2 linked regions of the Caenorhabditis elegans genome follow. The protein of the gene in region 1 interacts with the protein of each later gene in a biochemical or structural test. Each region holds a gene or a part of one and is shown in the gene's direction. Other genes may lie near its edges.

Region 1 (8,089 bases):
GTTCAGGCCAATTATTGTTCCGTACCTGACCAAGTGTACCGCGGAAATTGTCGGAAACAATCTGAAAAGAGACATTAAAAACGTATCACATTTTCTATTTAGCCACCTGGACAGCACGGAAAACAATATCAAATGGATAGATATCTGTATCAAAAACCACATCAATCAGTGTTTCTATGCTTGAATCTGCCGAGAGGTTATATGGGCGCTCAATTGCAGGTTCCACTTCATCCGTATTGCCGATCGGTTCTTCTTTGGTAGTGGCAGGCGAAGTGAACTGACGAACGGAATGCCAATCGAAATCTGTGAAAACTCGTCCCTTTTTCCATTGGATAGCAAATGAGATCCGTTTCATCGAATAGGTTTTCTTTGCAGATGAACTTTTGAAAAGAGCAGAAAGTGAAAATAGTGCAGCTGTGAGAGGATTATACAATTCCCTGAAACAATTTTATATTTAGACAAGAAAAAAACCCATTTTATAACAACGATTCTTACCCATCTTGTGTCTCATCAAGACTTTCCGATTCCTTTGATGGGAAATAGTTTTGAATAAGCTCGAGATCAACAAGTCGTTCATCAACGGACATCGATGTTTCGAACATTTGTAGATGTTGAATTTGATCATTTGAAACTTTGAGAATATGAACTCTCATCCCGACGCTTTTTCCCGAAACTGCCAAATCACATCCAACAATCAGAAGAATATCCACATCGAATGAATAAGCTCTGATAGAATATACAGTTTCAGTTGGTTCCATTGGAGACTTTTCTTCCTCGAAGTCTGCAGATTCTAGATCTCGATTCAAAGATTTTCCGTCTGAAGCAAAGTAGTTATTCAAGTCAATAGTGCTTGGCAATTGTTTTTTCGTCTCAACATTCCATGCTTGCACCCATCCGTCTCTGGTAACAGCGAACACAATATCGGATTGGACTGAAATTTTTCGCTCTCTCGTGACTCCAGAAGTCGGGCGAAGATTCTTCATAACACATGCATCACTGACTCGTTTATCAGTGCCACCTAGAAGTTTTCCCAGAAGACCAACTTCTCCCATTGTGAATTCTTCGTGTTTATCACTGGATTCCGTGTATGATCCCAATGTGACAATGACCAACTGCCCTTCAGCGGTACAGTAAGAAATCTGAATTCAAAATTCGAAATATAGGTTGTAATCAATTTCCATTTTTATACCGTATTTCTTGAAGGATGATGTGTAACACTTGCACGAATCGGGCGCCCTGGTGTTGAAAGGGAGTGAGATGTTCTGAATCGGCGGAAATCGTCATCTTCTTTAATTCTTGCAAGAATTGAGAACGTCTGAAAATAATTATTCTCATTCGATTATGGAAATTTTTGAGAACAAACATCATGGCCTTTGGAGTGGAGTCTCGCGTAGAAACGATGAATTGCAGAAGCTGTGGGAACGACAATACATAAAACCCCTTCCTCGAAAATTGTTATCGATGTTCCAGGAATAATAGGTGTGCGTGTGAAGTCAATGCACAACGATCCATCCGTGATTGAGTAGAGCAAAGAACGCTCCTCAATGAACAGTTTCTGGCCAATCGCACGCCACAGGAAAATCCGATCGCCGTAATTTGAGCAGTGCGGAAATGTTGCAACTCCTGCGGACGGTTGCACATCAAATCCATTCGAATGAAGCGGCGCATCTAAAAAAGTGAAATTTGTTGTAGAAACAATTATTTAATGAAATTGAAACTTACTGGTGTTTACCACAAAAGTTCTAGCCGGCTTTATAGCAAATCCATCCGTGAAGCTGATTTCCGACCCGTAAACCAGCTCCATCTGAAATTAAGCATAAAACACGATGTTAAAGCAAAAGAGAAATATGGAGATGAAATAAACACGTTCAAAAATATTTAAATATCGTTAAAAACAATTTTTCATTGGCGTGAACTTGTTTTACTTGTTTTTTATACGTTTTTTTATACGTGAAAAAATGGAAGAAAACAATTCACTTTAAATTTTAATCACTTATCGAGAAGGTTCTCATTGGATTCAAAGAAAAACTTGTTAGAAATTTGTGAGTTTTTACAATAAGCTTCATATTTTGACACTTTGCGATGTAAAATTTTACAAAACAATGATGAATTGAGCCGAAAACGCCTCCATATGGAGCTCCATTCGAATTCAAAAATAAGGGGCGTGGCTGCATGAGCAATACCGCCGCATGGTATTTCGCAACATGCGCACACTTTTTCTCTGTCAAGAAAAACGAGGCCCCACGAAAAGGGGATCTGCAAAAAGGGGATCTGCGAAAAGGGGAGATACGAAAAGGGGAGATACGAAAAGGGGAGCAACGAAAAGGGGATCTGGCACTGTGCCAAACGCTATTTTTCTCGAAGAAAACGATACAACGATTGTCGCGAATACGCAGAATACTGAGTCATCAACAATGACAAAGCCGGGAAACTCCTGTTTGAAAGCCGCGCCAAAAGACACACACGTCACGCGTGTTACAGTACTACCACACATGCACATCAAACCCCAACACGTCGACACCACGCAAGGAAATCGTCACTTCTTCGTTTTACTCTTGGACCGGCAGGTCGCATGTTAAATATATGAGCTTTCTCATTTTTATCATTTAACGGATTTATCAGTAATAAATTATATAATTCTACCACTTTTGAACCTATACCGATCCGAAACATGGTGCATCGGCTCCGATGTTACGCGTCGCGTGTTGTTAAGCGTATCTTCTAGAAGAAAATTTCAAAAATCAACGTGCGTTGCGTGAGAAAAATTGCGTTTTGTGCGTTTGGCACAGTGCCAGCTCCCCTTTTCGTTGCTCCCCTTTTCGTATCTCCCCTTTTTGCAGATCCCCTTTTCGTTCTGCTCCCCTTTTCGTGGGGCCTCAGAAAAACGCGCGCCTAAACGTGAATTTTGAATTTTCTCCGCGTCCGCGAAATTCTTACGTTTCCATAGTAACAAAAGTTGGTCCGCACTTGTTTTTCATGATTATGCACGCCCAAAGAACGGTGCTGAAGCTTCAAATTTTGCAACCTCCTGTTCATTTTGACTCAAAACTCTTAATCCCAAAAAAACGCTCAATTTTGTTTTCGAACCCGTTTCTTGTTTCAGAAAACTTCGCGTTAAATGGAGGATAATTCTGTGCTCAACGAGGACTCCAATCTCGAGCATGTCGAGGGTAATTATAACATTTAAAATCAATAACTGCATAAATGCAAAGGTTTTTTAGGCCAGCCACGAAGATCTATGTCGCAACCAGTTCTGAATGTTGAAGGAGACAAAAGAACGTCTTCGACCAGTGCCACTCAACAGCAAGTATTGTCAGGAGCATTTTCGTCTGCTGATGTTCGTAGCATCCCCATCATCCAAACATGGGAAGAAAACAAAGCGCTTAAAACAAAAATAACTATCCTGAGAGTAAGTAATTTATCATATGCTTATTTAGAAATGATTTGAGTTTGTAGGGAGAACTGCAAATGTATCAGCGCCGGTATAGTGAGGCAAAGGAAGCGTCGCAGAAGAGAGTTAAGGAAGTTATGGACGATTATGTCGATCTCAAATTAGGCCAAGAAAATGTTCAAGAGAAAATGGAGCAATACAAACTGATGGAAGAGGATTTGCTAGCAATGCAATCGAGAATTGAAACTTCCGAAGACAATTTTGCCAGACAGATGAAAGAATTTGAGGCACAAAAGCATGCAATGGAGGAAAGAATCAAGGAACTGGAATTGTCCGCTACTGATGCAAACAACACAACTGTCGGATCTTTTCGTGGAACTCTTGATGACATTCTGAAGAAAAACGATCCAGATTTCACATTAACCTCTGGTTATGAAGAAAGAAAGATCAACGACCTGGAGGCAAAGCTCCTCTCTGAGATCGACAAGGTAGCTGAGCTGGAAGATCACATTCAGCAGCTCCGTCAAGAACTTGACGACCAATCTGCAAGGCTTGCCGATTCAGAAAATGTTCGCGCTCAGCTTGAAGCGGCCACTGGACAAGGAATCCTCGGAGCTGCTGGAAACGCTATGGTTCCAAATTCAACGTTCATGATCGGGAACGGTCGTGAATCACAGACGCGAGACCAGCTCAATTACATTGATGATCTTGAAACGAAGTTAGCTGATGCGAAGAAGGAAAATGATAAGGCTCGTCAGGCACTCGTTGAATACATGAACAAGTGTAGCAAGCTTGAGCACGAGATTCGAACCATGGTTAAAAATTCGACATTTGATTCTTCTTCCATGTTGCTTGGTGGTCAGACATCCGACGAGCTTAAAATCCAAATAGGAAAGGTGAACGGTGAATTGAATGTGTTGAGAGCTGAAAATCGAGAACTCCGCATTCGTTGTGATCAATTGACCGGAGGCGATGGAAATCTTAGCATTTCACTGGGACAAAGTCGACTGATGGCTGGTATTGCGACTAATGATGTCGATAGCATTGGACAAGGAAATGAGACTGGCGGAACATCGATGCGCATTCTTCCCAGAGAAAGTCAATTAGATGATCTTGAAGAAAGCAAATTGCCGCTCATGGATACATCATCTGCTGTTCGAAATGTAAGTGTATGAAAATTATTATTTAAAATAAAGTCTTGAATATTTAGCAGCAACAATTTGCCTCCATGTGGGAAGATTTCGAGTCAGTGAAAGACAGCCTGCAGAACAACCATAATGACACCCTTGAAGGTAGTAAAATTGATTCCTAGATTTTTTGAAATTGATTATTGTTAGGTTCCTTCAATTCGTCAATGCCACCACCTGGTAGAGATGCAACTCAATCGTTCCTCAGTCAGAAGTCTTTCAAGAATTCTCCGATTGTAATGCAGAAACCAAAATCACTTCATCTTCACCTGAAGAGCCATCAATCCGAGGGAGCTGGCGAACAAATACAGAATAATTCGTTTTCTACGAAGACTGCTTCTCCTCACGTGTCACAAAGTCACATTCCAATTCTGCACGATATGCAACAAATTCTGGATTCTTCTGCAATGTTCCTTGAAGGCCAGCATGATGTAGCTGTAAATGTTGAGCAAATGCAAGAGAAAATGTCCCAGATCAGAGAGGCTCTTGCTCGACTTTTCGAAAGACTTAAATCTTCTGCTGCTCTTTTTGAAGAGATTCTTGAAAGGGTATGAAAACTGTCAAGTTGTGAATCTGTAAATCTGAGTTTTTTGTAGATGGGATCCAGTGATCCAAATGCGGATAAGATCAAGAAAATGAAGCTCGCATTTGAAACAAGTATTAACGACAAGCTCAATGTATCTGCCATCTTGGAAGCAGCGGAGAAGGATCTTCATAATATGTCACTCAATTTCTCAATTCTCGAGAAGTCGATAGTTAGTCAGGCTGCGGAAGCTTCGAGAAGATTCACTATTGCACCCGATGCTGAAGGTAATATAAATTTTAGAGACGCTCATAAATCAATATTTTCCAGATGTCGCCTCATCTTCTCTTCTCAATGCCTCGTATAGTCCACTCTTCAAGTTTACAAGCAATTCAGACATAGTGGAAAAGCTTCAGAATGAGGTATCGGAGTTGAAAAATGAATTGGAGATGGCTCGTACACGAGATATGAGATCTCCATTGAACGGTTCGTCTGGAAGATTGTCGGATGTGCAGATCAACACCAATCGCATGTTTGAAGATCTCGAAGTATCTGAAGCAACGCTACAAAAGGCTAAAGAGGAAAATTCTACATTGAAAAGTCAATTTGCTGAACTCGAAGCCAATCTCCATCAAGTTAATTCTAAGCTTGGAGAAGTGCGATGCGAGCTCAATGAAGCGTTGGCTCGTGTGGATGGTGAACAGGAGACTCGTGTCAAAGCTGAAAATGCATTGGAAGAGGCTCGTCAGCTCATCAGTTCTCTAAAACATGAGGAAAATGAGCTCAAGAAAACCATTACTGATATGGGGATGCGATTGAATGAAGCAAAGAAGAGCGATGAATTCTTGAAAAGCGAGTTATCTACCGCGCTGGAGGAAGAAAAAAAATCCCAAAATCTAGCAGATGAGTTGAGTGAAGAATTGAATGGGTGGAGAATGAGAACAAAAGAGGCGGAAAATAAAGTTGAACATGCTTCATCCGAGAAATCTGAAATGCTTGAAAGAATTGTTCATTTGGAGACTGAGATGGAGAAGTTGTCGACTTCAGAAATTGCGGCCGACTATTGTTCTACGAAGATGACAGAAAGAAAGAAGGAAATTGAGTTGGCGAAGTATCGCGAAGATTTTGAGAATGCCGCTATTGTAGGATTGGAACGTATCAGTAAGGAGATATCTGAGCTAACCAAGAAGACTTTGAAAGCCAAGATTATCCCAAGGTATTATCAAACGTCGTGCTTGTTTTTTTTTATTTGAGAACATTTTCAGCAACATCTCATCGATTCAACTCGTTTGCGATGAACTCTGTCGTCGTCTTTCCAGGGAACGAGAGCAACAGCATGAATACGCGAAAGTTATGAGAGACGTCAATGAAAAAATTGAAAAGCTTCAATTAGAGAAAGATGCTCTCGAACATGAGCTGAAAATGATGAGCTCTAATAACGAGAATGTCCCACCAGTTGGAACATCGGTCAGTGGCATGCCTACTAAAACATCGAATCAAAAGTGTGCTCAACCTCGTAAGTCATACTTATGCACATCAGAAGTTGAATTTTCACCAATTCTCCAGATTACACGAGCCCTACTCGACAATTGCTCCACGAATCAACTATGGCTGTCGACGCAATTGTTCAGAAACTCAAGAAGACTCACAATATGTCAGGAATGGGTCCAGAGCTTAAGGAGACGATTGGCAACGTCATCAATGAATCCAGAGTTCTTCGCGATTTCCTCCATCAGAAGCTCATTCTATTCAAAGGAATCGATATGTCCAATTGGAAGAACGAGACCGTCGATCAACTGATCACAGATCTCGGACAATTGCATCAGGATAACTTGATGCTTGAGGAGCAAATCAAGAAGTACAAAAAGGAACTGAAACTGACAAAATCCGCCATCCCGGTATGAAATTCTTTTTCTATTGAAATCTATTTTGAAAAATATCATTTTCAGACACTTGGTGTCGAATTTCAAGACAGAATCAAAACGGAAATTGGCAAAATCGCAACTGATATGGGAGGAGCTGTGAAGGAAATTCGCAAAAAGTGAACTGATCTGTTAATGTATTAAAATGGAACCAGTTTTATCAACACTATCATCTCGACAAGATTAACTTGTAACGATTGTATTGTTTTCCCAGCCTAAAGATACACCTAATGCATCTATCAATGTACTTGTGAATTAAATGCTTCTTTTCTGGTAGTTGACTGCAATCCCATTACAGATAATAAAAGGAACAGATTAATTTAATGAAAAAACAGCGGACAATCTTACAATAATACAAACAGTTGAGATAAATAAGACAAATTTCGATGGAAGATTTATACAATGACATTGATCAGCTTTCCTCTTCATCCTCTTCGAAGATATTGTGAAGGTGATAAGCTTGACTTTCTGTAAAATTAAGGCGTTTTGTAAATTCAAGAAATTGTGAATACCTTACTTCTGTTTTTCAAGTCTTCCTTTTCGGTAATAGCCGACAAATTAAGGGAGAATGTGACATCGCTTGGATCTGCGTCTTCTCGTGATCGAATCGGAGTTGAACAATGACGTCCTGCACCAAGCTTACTTTCATCGAAAATCAACGGAGTCACTCCGCGTGACAGTGGATCATTTTCAGTGTTACCAGATGAACTTGTTGGCACATTTTCCTCTTCCTCGTCAACAGATTTCCGTTTTCGATTAGAATTCTCTTTCACGACTGGTGGCTCTGTTGACTGACCCCGACGACTACGACGCAAAGTGACGTTGGCCGAAATATTGACTTCCTTTTCCGGGGATTCTTCAAGAAAATAAATTATTTAAAACACATTTTTTCTTGTGTGAAAGCGTGGTCAATAAAATACAGCAAATTGAACAATGAAATCAGGAAAAATAACTTACTGTTGACAATTTTCGGCTTCTTCCATATTTTTCCATCAGCATCCACAGACTCTTCATCATCGTAATTTGGCGTTTTTCTACGACGAGCTGGAATAATTTTTGAATTCAG
Region 2 (8,126 bases), on another chromosome or scaffold:
TTGAAAAAAATCGTAAGAAACTCGAAGTAACTGGGATCAAATACTACAACAATTGTCATGTCCTACGTTGGAAATTTTAAAGAAAACTGTGAATGATTTTTCAACATGTTGTCTAGTTTTGAAATAAAAGAAAAACGTACTTGTACAAAAAATGGAATGTTCTTCGACATCGTCAGAAGAACGACTTTTTCGCTGACTCAACTGACACTGTTTCATGATACATTGTTTTCTTTTATACCGTATGTTTATATGTATGTTATTGTGTTATAGACGAATTTTCGATGAGACAAAATATGTGAAAATTTTTATTTAGAGTCAAAATATTATCTTCGAGTTCACCGTGAATTATATGATATTGCGCCAGAAGCCACCAGCTTTCAGGAACCGTTGGTAGGATAAGAGCCTCCAAGAAGTACGATGGACGTTTTTTTTGTGAGATCCACGTCGAGAGACAACACGAATTAACATAAGCAAAAGTACCATAGGGGTTTTTCATGCTTCTTCTCACGAATTGTTAAAATTTAGATTTTTTTATTCAAAAAAAAAAGGTTTAATAAACGCGTGCTGCATGCAACACTAACTTTCGGGCCCTTTTTTTTACGCGTGCTGCATACAACACTAACTTTCGAGCACTATTAGAGACTGCAGTATTATCAGAAAATAAATATGATGTTTGTAAATTAACAAGAAACCATCAAAAATATACAAAAACACACATTATTAGAGACTGTAGTACTATTGAAGATGCAGCGCTAATAGGAAATATACGGTATTTGAGAAATCGATAGAAAATCTGCAGTAACCAAAGTTTGCAACAACAGTACTCTTTAAAGACGCGCACCTTTTTCATTTATCAAAAATTTGTCGTGTCGAGACCGCACAGCATTTTTGGCGCCAAATTTCCTGTTTTTCTCGCGTTTCAAACGCGTTTTTTAGGCGTAGGCTCATTTTTGTCTTGTTACAAATCAAAAATTTTCATCTCCCGGTCTCCATATCTGAAATTGACCTTGATCGATGGCTTAAGCGCGCGAATTCTCCCTTCCAAAACACTTCTTGTTCATTTTGCATTCGTATTTTTGAAATAAACATTTCTTCGTTGCGCTTTAATTATTTTTAAGACCAAATTTCGCTATTTAACAGAGCTTTTTAGAAAATGTTTCCTTTCTTGTTCAGTACGCAGTTGACAGCCCCGTCGTTTTACGCGCGCGTTGCGTATCAAGCATGCCACTTGACGACATTTTTATTCGAACGCGCGGTAGAAAATAGTTTTGAAAAGCGCAACGGAAACCTTCTCGCTTTCGCACTTTTTCAATGAATATCAGTTGTTCCCATGTGAGCTCATCATTAAATTGTTTAAATAATTTGTCGTCGCAAGTTAAGCTTTTCAGTGTTTGTCGCACAGTGTTAAGCGTTTGTTCGAGATGTTTCGTCCTTTTTTTGAGATTTTGTTTCTTTGTGAAGCACTTCCATTATCTAATTAATCAAATTTATTATCTGCGTAGTGTTTTAGTATTCACTTGGCTCGAACAAAAAGTTGTATAAAGAATTCATTGATTTTTTGTCCTTTCTTTTTTTTTGCCGCGTAGTGCAACTGAGCCGGCCCGTCCGCCTCTGTTTCTCTGTTTGCGCTTCTTTTTGACGGGTTGCGAAATCGGTCGAAAATGGGCTTGCGGCGAAAAAGTTCCATGTGACCCCAATTACCCCTCGCAGTTCGAAAATATTGATTTTTTCCCTCTACGTTCTCCACCGGAAATCTATTGTTGAAATCTCCTTTCTCTTCAAAACTTATTTTCGTTCGCTTTCTTTGTTTATTGCAAGGCACGTAGTAAACTGTCATTTTTCAGATAATGTCCAATTGGGATTATCTGGACGAGGTGGATATCCTTCCCAAACTTCCACCGAACTTCGATGAGCTGCGAGAATCCAAAAAATGGCAGGAACGAAAAGAGGCATTGGAAGCACTTCTCAAAGTACTCACGGACAATGAGCGACTTTCAACAAAAGCTTCATATGCCGAACTTATTGGTCATCTGCAGATGGTTGGTTTTCATATTTTTCGGTCATTTCTGCAATCTCATTTTACAGGTTCTAGCAAAAGATGCAAACATCAATTGCCAAGCGCTTGCAGCCAAATGCATCGGAAAATTCGCAACGGGATTACGTGCAAAATTCTCTTCTTTCGCAGGACCACTTCTTCCCGTCATTTTCGAAAAAATGAAAGAAAAGAAGCCGATGCTCCGAGAACCTCTTGTAGACTGTTCCAATGAAGTCGGCCGTACAATGCAATCTTTGGAAACTGGTCAGGAAGACATTTTGGCGGCGCTGGCCAAACCAAATCCTCAGATCAAGCAACAGACTGCACTTTTTGTGGCTCGGCAGTTAGATTTGGTGGTTCCAGCAAAACAACCAAAAGGATTCATCAAAGCTGTTGTGCCTGTGTTTGGAAAATTGACTGGCGATGCAGATCAAGATGTCAGAGAGGCATCTCTTCAAGGTTTAGGAGCTGTTCAGCGCATCATTGGAGACAAAAACGTTAAAAATCTCCTCGGCGATGCTTCTTCCGATGAAGGGAAAATGAAAAAGATTGGGGAATATGCTGAAAAATCAACCGCTAGCTTCGCAGAAGAACAAGCTAAAAATGCTCCACCAGTCGCTCCCACTTCTTCGACACCTTCGGCAAGTGCTGCTTCGGGAGATCCATCCGGCGGAACAGCAACTGCTGTTGTTTCATCTGGAGCTCCAGTTGCGGAAGCCGATCCTTGGGATTTTCTTGACGCTTTCGACGTACTTTCCAAAATGCCCGACGGTTTTGATACCAACATCGAAAGCAAGAAATGGCAGGAACGAAAAGAAGCGCTTGAAGGTTTGCTTCAATTGATCACAGCGAATCCGAAGCTCGACCCAAAGGCAAACTATGGCGCACTCGTTGAGAGATTGCAGAAGGTATGTGTATTTTGTCCTGAAAAATTATTTTAAATTCAAATATTAAGGTCCTCGAGAAAGATGCAAATATCAATGTGGCTGCACTAGCGGCCAATTGTATAACTGGTATTGCTAATGGTCTCCGTACGAAGTTCCAGCCGTTTGCTGTGTCTGTGACTCCAATCATTTTTGAGAAGTTCAAAGAGAAGAAACCAACTCTACGTGATCCGCTGGTTGCTTGCATTGATGCAGTTGTTGCAACCACAAATCTCGAAGCAGTTGGAGAAATCGTACTCGCAGCGCTCGGAAAACCAAATCCAAGCATTAAGACTCAAACGGATCTTTTCCTTCAACGATGCTTCATGAAACTGAATTCACAGACCATGCCGAAGAAGACTTTGAAGACGCTGATCCCGTCGTTGATAAAACATTCTGGTGATTCGGATTCGGAAGTTCGTGAAGCATCATACGCTGCAATGGGAGCAATGATGAGAGCCATTGGAGAAAAACCTTCTCTGCAACTTCTCGCCGATATTGCATCGGATAATCTGAAAATGAGCAAAATCAAGGAGTTTCATCAGAAGGCGTTGGATGAAGCTGGGCCCGCAGAGATTGCTGAAATGGTCAAATCGATTCACAAAGCAGATGTGAGTTATTTTATTATTATTAACCAGCCGCTGACCGCGCCTACGGCGCGGGCAACGCCTGGCACCATTAAAAGTATTTGACACACATACCTTCAATCACTCAAAAAATTTCTCATCATGAAAAAAACTTGAAACACTTAAAACGCGGTTTACTGGCACTGTTACATGTATGTATTTTTCTACGACATGCATGTTTCAAAAATTCACAGACAGTATGAAAACTTTCTGTTATTTTTTGACCAAGACAGTAACCTTACAATACCACTACAGTACCTTGACATTATCCTCCACCGACTCCTAACCCAATACCTCTTCAAAGGACGAAATGCCAATTTTTCCAAAACTACAGTAACCCTACCGTATACCTACAGTACCCCTATAGTAACACTACAGTACCTTGACTTGATCCCCCATAAACTCCCGAATAACTACCTCTTCTAAAGCTCTAAGCTCAATTTTTCGGAACATTCCAGAATTTTCTCGATTTTTCTAGAAAGTTCTGGAACATTACAGAAATTTCTCGATTTTTCTAGAAAGTTCTGGAACATTCCAAAAATTTCCCAATTTTTCTAGAAAGTTCTGGAACATTACAGAAATTTCTCAATTTTTCTAGAAAGTTCTGGAACATTCCAGACTTTTCCCAATTTTTCTAGAAAGTTCTGGAACATTCCAGACTTTTCCCAATTTTTCTAGAAAGTTCTGGAACATTACAGAAATTTCTCAATTTTTCTAGAAAGTTCTGGAACATTCCAGACTTTTCCCAATTTTTCTAGAAAGTTCTGGAACATTCCAGACTTTTCCCAATTTTTCTAGAAAGTTCTGGAACATTCCAGAATTTTCTCGATTTTTCTACAAAGTTCTGGAACATTCCAGAATTTTCTCGATTTTTCTAGAAAGTTCTGGAACATTCGAGAATTTTTTCGAAATTTCCAGAAGATTCTAGATTTCCAGAATTTTAGAATTTTCAGAAAATTTAAATTTCCCGCAAAAATATTTTTCACAGAAAACTTAAATTTCTCGCCGAAATATTTTTCTCAGAAAATTTAAATTTCCCGCCAAAATATTTTTCACAGAACATTTAAAATTCCCGCCAAAATATTTTTCACAGAAAATTTAAATTTCCCGCCAAATTATTTTTCACAGAAAATTTAAATTTCCCGCCAAAATTTTGGGTCTTACCACGACGGGTCTCACCACGGTGGGTATTACCACGATGGGTCTCACCACGACGGGTCTCACCACGGTGGGTCTCGCCACGATGGGTCTCACCACGATGGGTCTCGCCACGATGAGTCTCACCGCGAAGGATGACAGACCCCGCCCACAATTCTCAGTGACTTTGGGTGTGACGTCACAGACTACAAAGACTACATAGACTACAAACTATGGAACAAACGGAATTATTTTTTTATATATAAGTAATGATAGTATTTAGAAGTATTCACTGATGATTTTTGTACTGCTTATTTGTAATTTTATTGTGAATGTGTTGTCAAATTTAGGCTCCGCCAGCTGCTGCACCACCGAAAAAAACAGCTCCACCGAAGAAACAACCGGAAGATGAGGAAGTGGTCGAGGAAGAGGATGAGGTGATTAAAATTGTGTTCTTATTTCCATATAGTAATTTGTATCGATTGTGTGGTCGTTTAAAACTGAAAACTTACAATTTTTTATTATTTTTTTTTCAGCCCCTGAAACCACCACCAGGCGATAAGAAGAAGAAAGTTCCCGTGAAGGAGAACGAAGAAAACGAGCCTCCCGTTGTTGCACCAAAAGCCGAACTTTTGCTCAGTGACAACGAGGATAAAAAGCAACGAATCAAGGAAGAGAAGCAATTAAAAGTAATTGCTTTAAATGAGTTAATAATCATACATTCTAATTAATTTGCAGTTAGTCAAATGGAATTTCCAAGCTCCGACTGATGAACATATCTCGCAACTTCAAACCCTGCTCGGAAACCAAGCGAAAGTGTCTCTAATGAGTCAACTTTTCCACAAAGATTTCAAGCAGCATCTTGCGGCTCTTGATTCTCTGGTTCGCCTTGCCGATACATCTCCTCGATCTCTTCTATCCAACAGCGATCTTCTATTAAAATGGTGCACTTTGCGATTTTTCGAGACCAACCCGGCCGCACTTATCAAAGTTTTGGAATTGTGCAAAGTTATTGTGGAGCTAATTCGGGATACAGAAACTCCAATGTCACAAGAAGAGGTGTCTGCATTTGTTCCATACTTGTTATTGAAGACAGGAGAAGCCAAAGACAATATGAGAACTTCTGTCAGGGATATTGTCAATGTACTTTCAGATGTTGTCGGTCCACTCAAGATGACACCCATGCTACTTGGTATGAGAGAAGAAGATCAATAATGTTCTAGTAATTTTTATTTTCAGATGCGCTGAAGTCGAAAAACGCTCGCCAACGTTCCGAGTGTCTGCTAGTCATTGAATACTACATTACAAATGCTGGAATAAGTCCGCTGAAATCGTTATCAGTCGAAAAAACAGTTGCTCCATTTGTTGGTGACAAGGATGTCAACGTCCGAAATGCTGCTATCAATGTTCTCGTGGCTTGTTTCAAATTTGAAGGTGATCAAATGTGGAAAGCAGCAGGAAGAATGGCAGATAAGGACAAGTCGTTGGTTGAGGAAAGAATAAAACGAACAGGAGTGAAACCGGGATCTGGTGTTGTCACCTCGCCGCCAACTGGAGGACCCAAAATTTTAGTGCCACAACAACAGGTTAGTTGTTTAAAATATTTCTCGTAATGAGTCAGGTTCCCTGAAAGATCACTTGAATCGGCCATACAGTCTTACGAGTTGGAAGTAAATAATATTTTTTTTTGTCTCAAATATTTGGAGTTAGTAGTGATTCCCTATTCGATACCCACGCGAAGTTTCGTTCAGTTTTTAGAAAACGAAAAATTACATGTTTTTCAGGGTTCGGTTGTTCGTCGTCCTGCTTCTCGATCTCGTACTCGTGAACCTGAACCAGAAGAAGTTCAAAGCGACACCTTCACTATACGACAAGACACAATGCCTCCAAAAACTTCATCTCGCTATGCACTTCGTGACGACGTCTTTTCGTCAGCCATGGGCCGTCTTGATGGCACTCAAGTCATCACTCCACCACAACCTGTCAATGGCTGGTCAAACAATACCTTCCAAATGAAGCGGACCAATTCTTCATCGTCGATTTCCTCCATAGACACTTCTGATCAAATCCAAAGAAGCATCAACAATATTTCGAGCAGTCTTGCAGATGTTGCTCAAGATGCTATGTTCCAGGTCACTTATGTTCTTAATCAACCTGAACAACGTCATCTTGTTGATCGACGTGCCGATTTGGTGTTTCGTGCATCTGCTGCTCAATTAGATTTGGTGATTGAAGAATTCAATGCTGGACGAGATGTCAGTGGAACTATGGACGCTTGTACGCAAATGCTTTTCATTGTAAGTTATATTTTTCATATGTCATAGTAATCAAGGGGAGTTCCGAAATATATCTGGCTCTCTTTGTTTCATTTAGTCATGCCATGTATATGTATATATCCAAATTTATCTTTTCAGTTGATGGGAGGAGTCGAAACTGAGCACGGCCTTGAGCCACTTAATGCGTCCCCCGACACAGTCAAAGCCATCATCTCTTCGGTCCTCAGATGTATCATCCAAATCGGTAACACAGAGTCCGGATACGGAATGGCAAGATCTCTCAATCGACTGGCAATGCGATTAATCTACAGAGTTGAGCTGTCTAATCTGTTGTGCGGATTGATTCTGGCAATGACTGAATCACTTCAAATGAACACCGGTATAACCGAACTTGTGTCGAAGCTCTCGTCGAAATGGTGTGATGAACTTGAAAAGAGAAGAGCTCAACTGAGAGCCTCGGATATAGTCGACTCATTCAATGCTTTCTACGTTTGTGCACTCACAGAACTTAAAATGGACATCAGCGATTCACACATTTTGATAGTTGATAACTATTTGGAGCGGGTTATCCTTCAGCAAGGAGACGTCGTCTTGGATGCTGCCCGTCGTCTTTCTCGACCACATATGCACTTGACCAGTATGATCAACAAGATTTTACAAATGATGAGAGAACGAAAAATTGATCCTATCATGCCTGGAACATTGGAAGCCAGAATGCCACAAGAGGATGAAGCAGTTGTAGTGCGAAGCGGCGTTCAAGTTTCGATCGACAATATTCTGCGTGATACCTCGATGGCAGTTAAACATATTGAGCAACTGAATATTCTCATTGCATCCAGTGACCGATCTTGGAATGAGTATATGGAATATCTCAAAAATAATCCAATGGGAGAGCTCATCAAGGAGCTAGTCGGCGAGTGTTCCAGAAAGAAGAGGATTGACTTTAACCTCTCTCATGTCGTTAAATCGTCAATGGCAGTTTTCAAAGCCATGGCAGCTACTGGTCCTGTTCAAGAGGAAGGTAGAATAACTCCAACAGATATAAACAGAATGGATACTATGATTGTGTAAGTTTCATAAGACAAAGAACGTAATTTAGCTCTCATCTCATATTTTGCCAAACTAAAAA

The links. The genes of interacting proteins can lie anywhere in the genome.
Region 2: the proteins of spd-5 (region 1) and zyg-9 form a complex in vitro, tested with the Caenorhabditis elegans proteins (one study listed by BioGRID).

The regions. Positions count from the first base shown.
Region 1 is NC_003279.8:5,170,551-5,178,639, reverse strand, and holds spd-5 (Spindle-defective protein 5), read left to right. Parts: upstream 1-1,985; 5' UTR 1,986-2,042; intron 2,043-3,103; 5' UTR 3,104-3,118; coding exon 3,119-3,170; intron 3,171-3,221; coding exon 3,222-3,409; intron 3,410-3,456; coding exon 3,457-4,554; intron 4,555-4,601; coding exon 4,602-4,683; intron 4,684-4,728; coding exon 4,729-5,126; intron 5,127-5,174; coding exon 5,175-5,388; intron 5,389-5,431; coding exon 5,432-6,317; intron 6,318-6,366; coding exon 6,367-6,617; intron 6,618-6,667; coding exon 6,668-6,999; intron 7,000-7,050; coding exon 7,051-7,146; 3' UTR 7,147-7,338; downstream 7,339-8,089. Other genes in the region: npp-6 (NUP160 middle TPR domain-containing protein), read right to left, coding at 1-61, 107-437, 496-1,139, 1,190-1,315, 1,364-1,668, 1,723-1,804; Condensin-2 complex subunit hcp-6, read right to left, coding at 7,339-7,491, 7,536-7,879, 7,981-8,067. UniProt on the Caenorhabditis elegans protein: Plays a central role in centrosome maturation and mitotic spindle assembly during the first division of the zygote. Required for the centrosomal localization of air-1 and zyg-9. Probably not required in late embryogenesis and during larval development.
Region 2 is NC_003280.10:8,455,974-8,464,099, forward strand, and holds the start of zyg-9 (Zygote defective protein 9), read left to right. Parts: upstream 1-1,844; 5' UTR 1,845-1,847; coding exon 1,848-2,039; intron 2,040-2,085; coding exon 2,086-2,943; intron 2,944-2,990; coding exon 2,991-3,569; intron 3,570-5,071; coding exon 5,072-5,158; intron 5,159-5,257; coding exon 5,258-5,410; intron 5,411-5,459; coding exon 5,460-5,913; intron 5,914-5,960; coding exon 5,961-6,307; intron 6,308-6,505; coding exon 6,506-7,018; intron 7,019-7,135; coding exon 7,136-8,064; intron 8,065-8,126. Other genes in the region: F22B5.6 (Serpentine Receptor, class J), read right to left, coding at 141-170. UniProt on the Caenorhabditis elegans protein: Plays a major role in organizing microtubules and spindle poles during mitosis and meiosis in one-cell stage embryos. Required for default nucleus positioning in oocytes.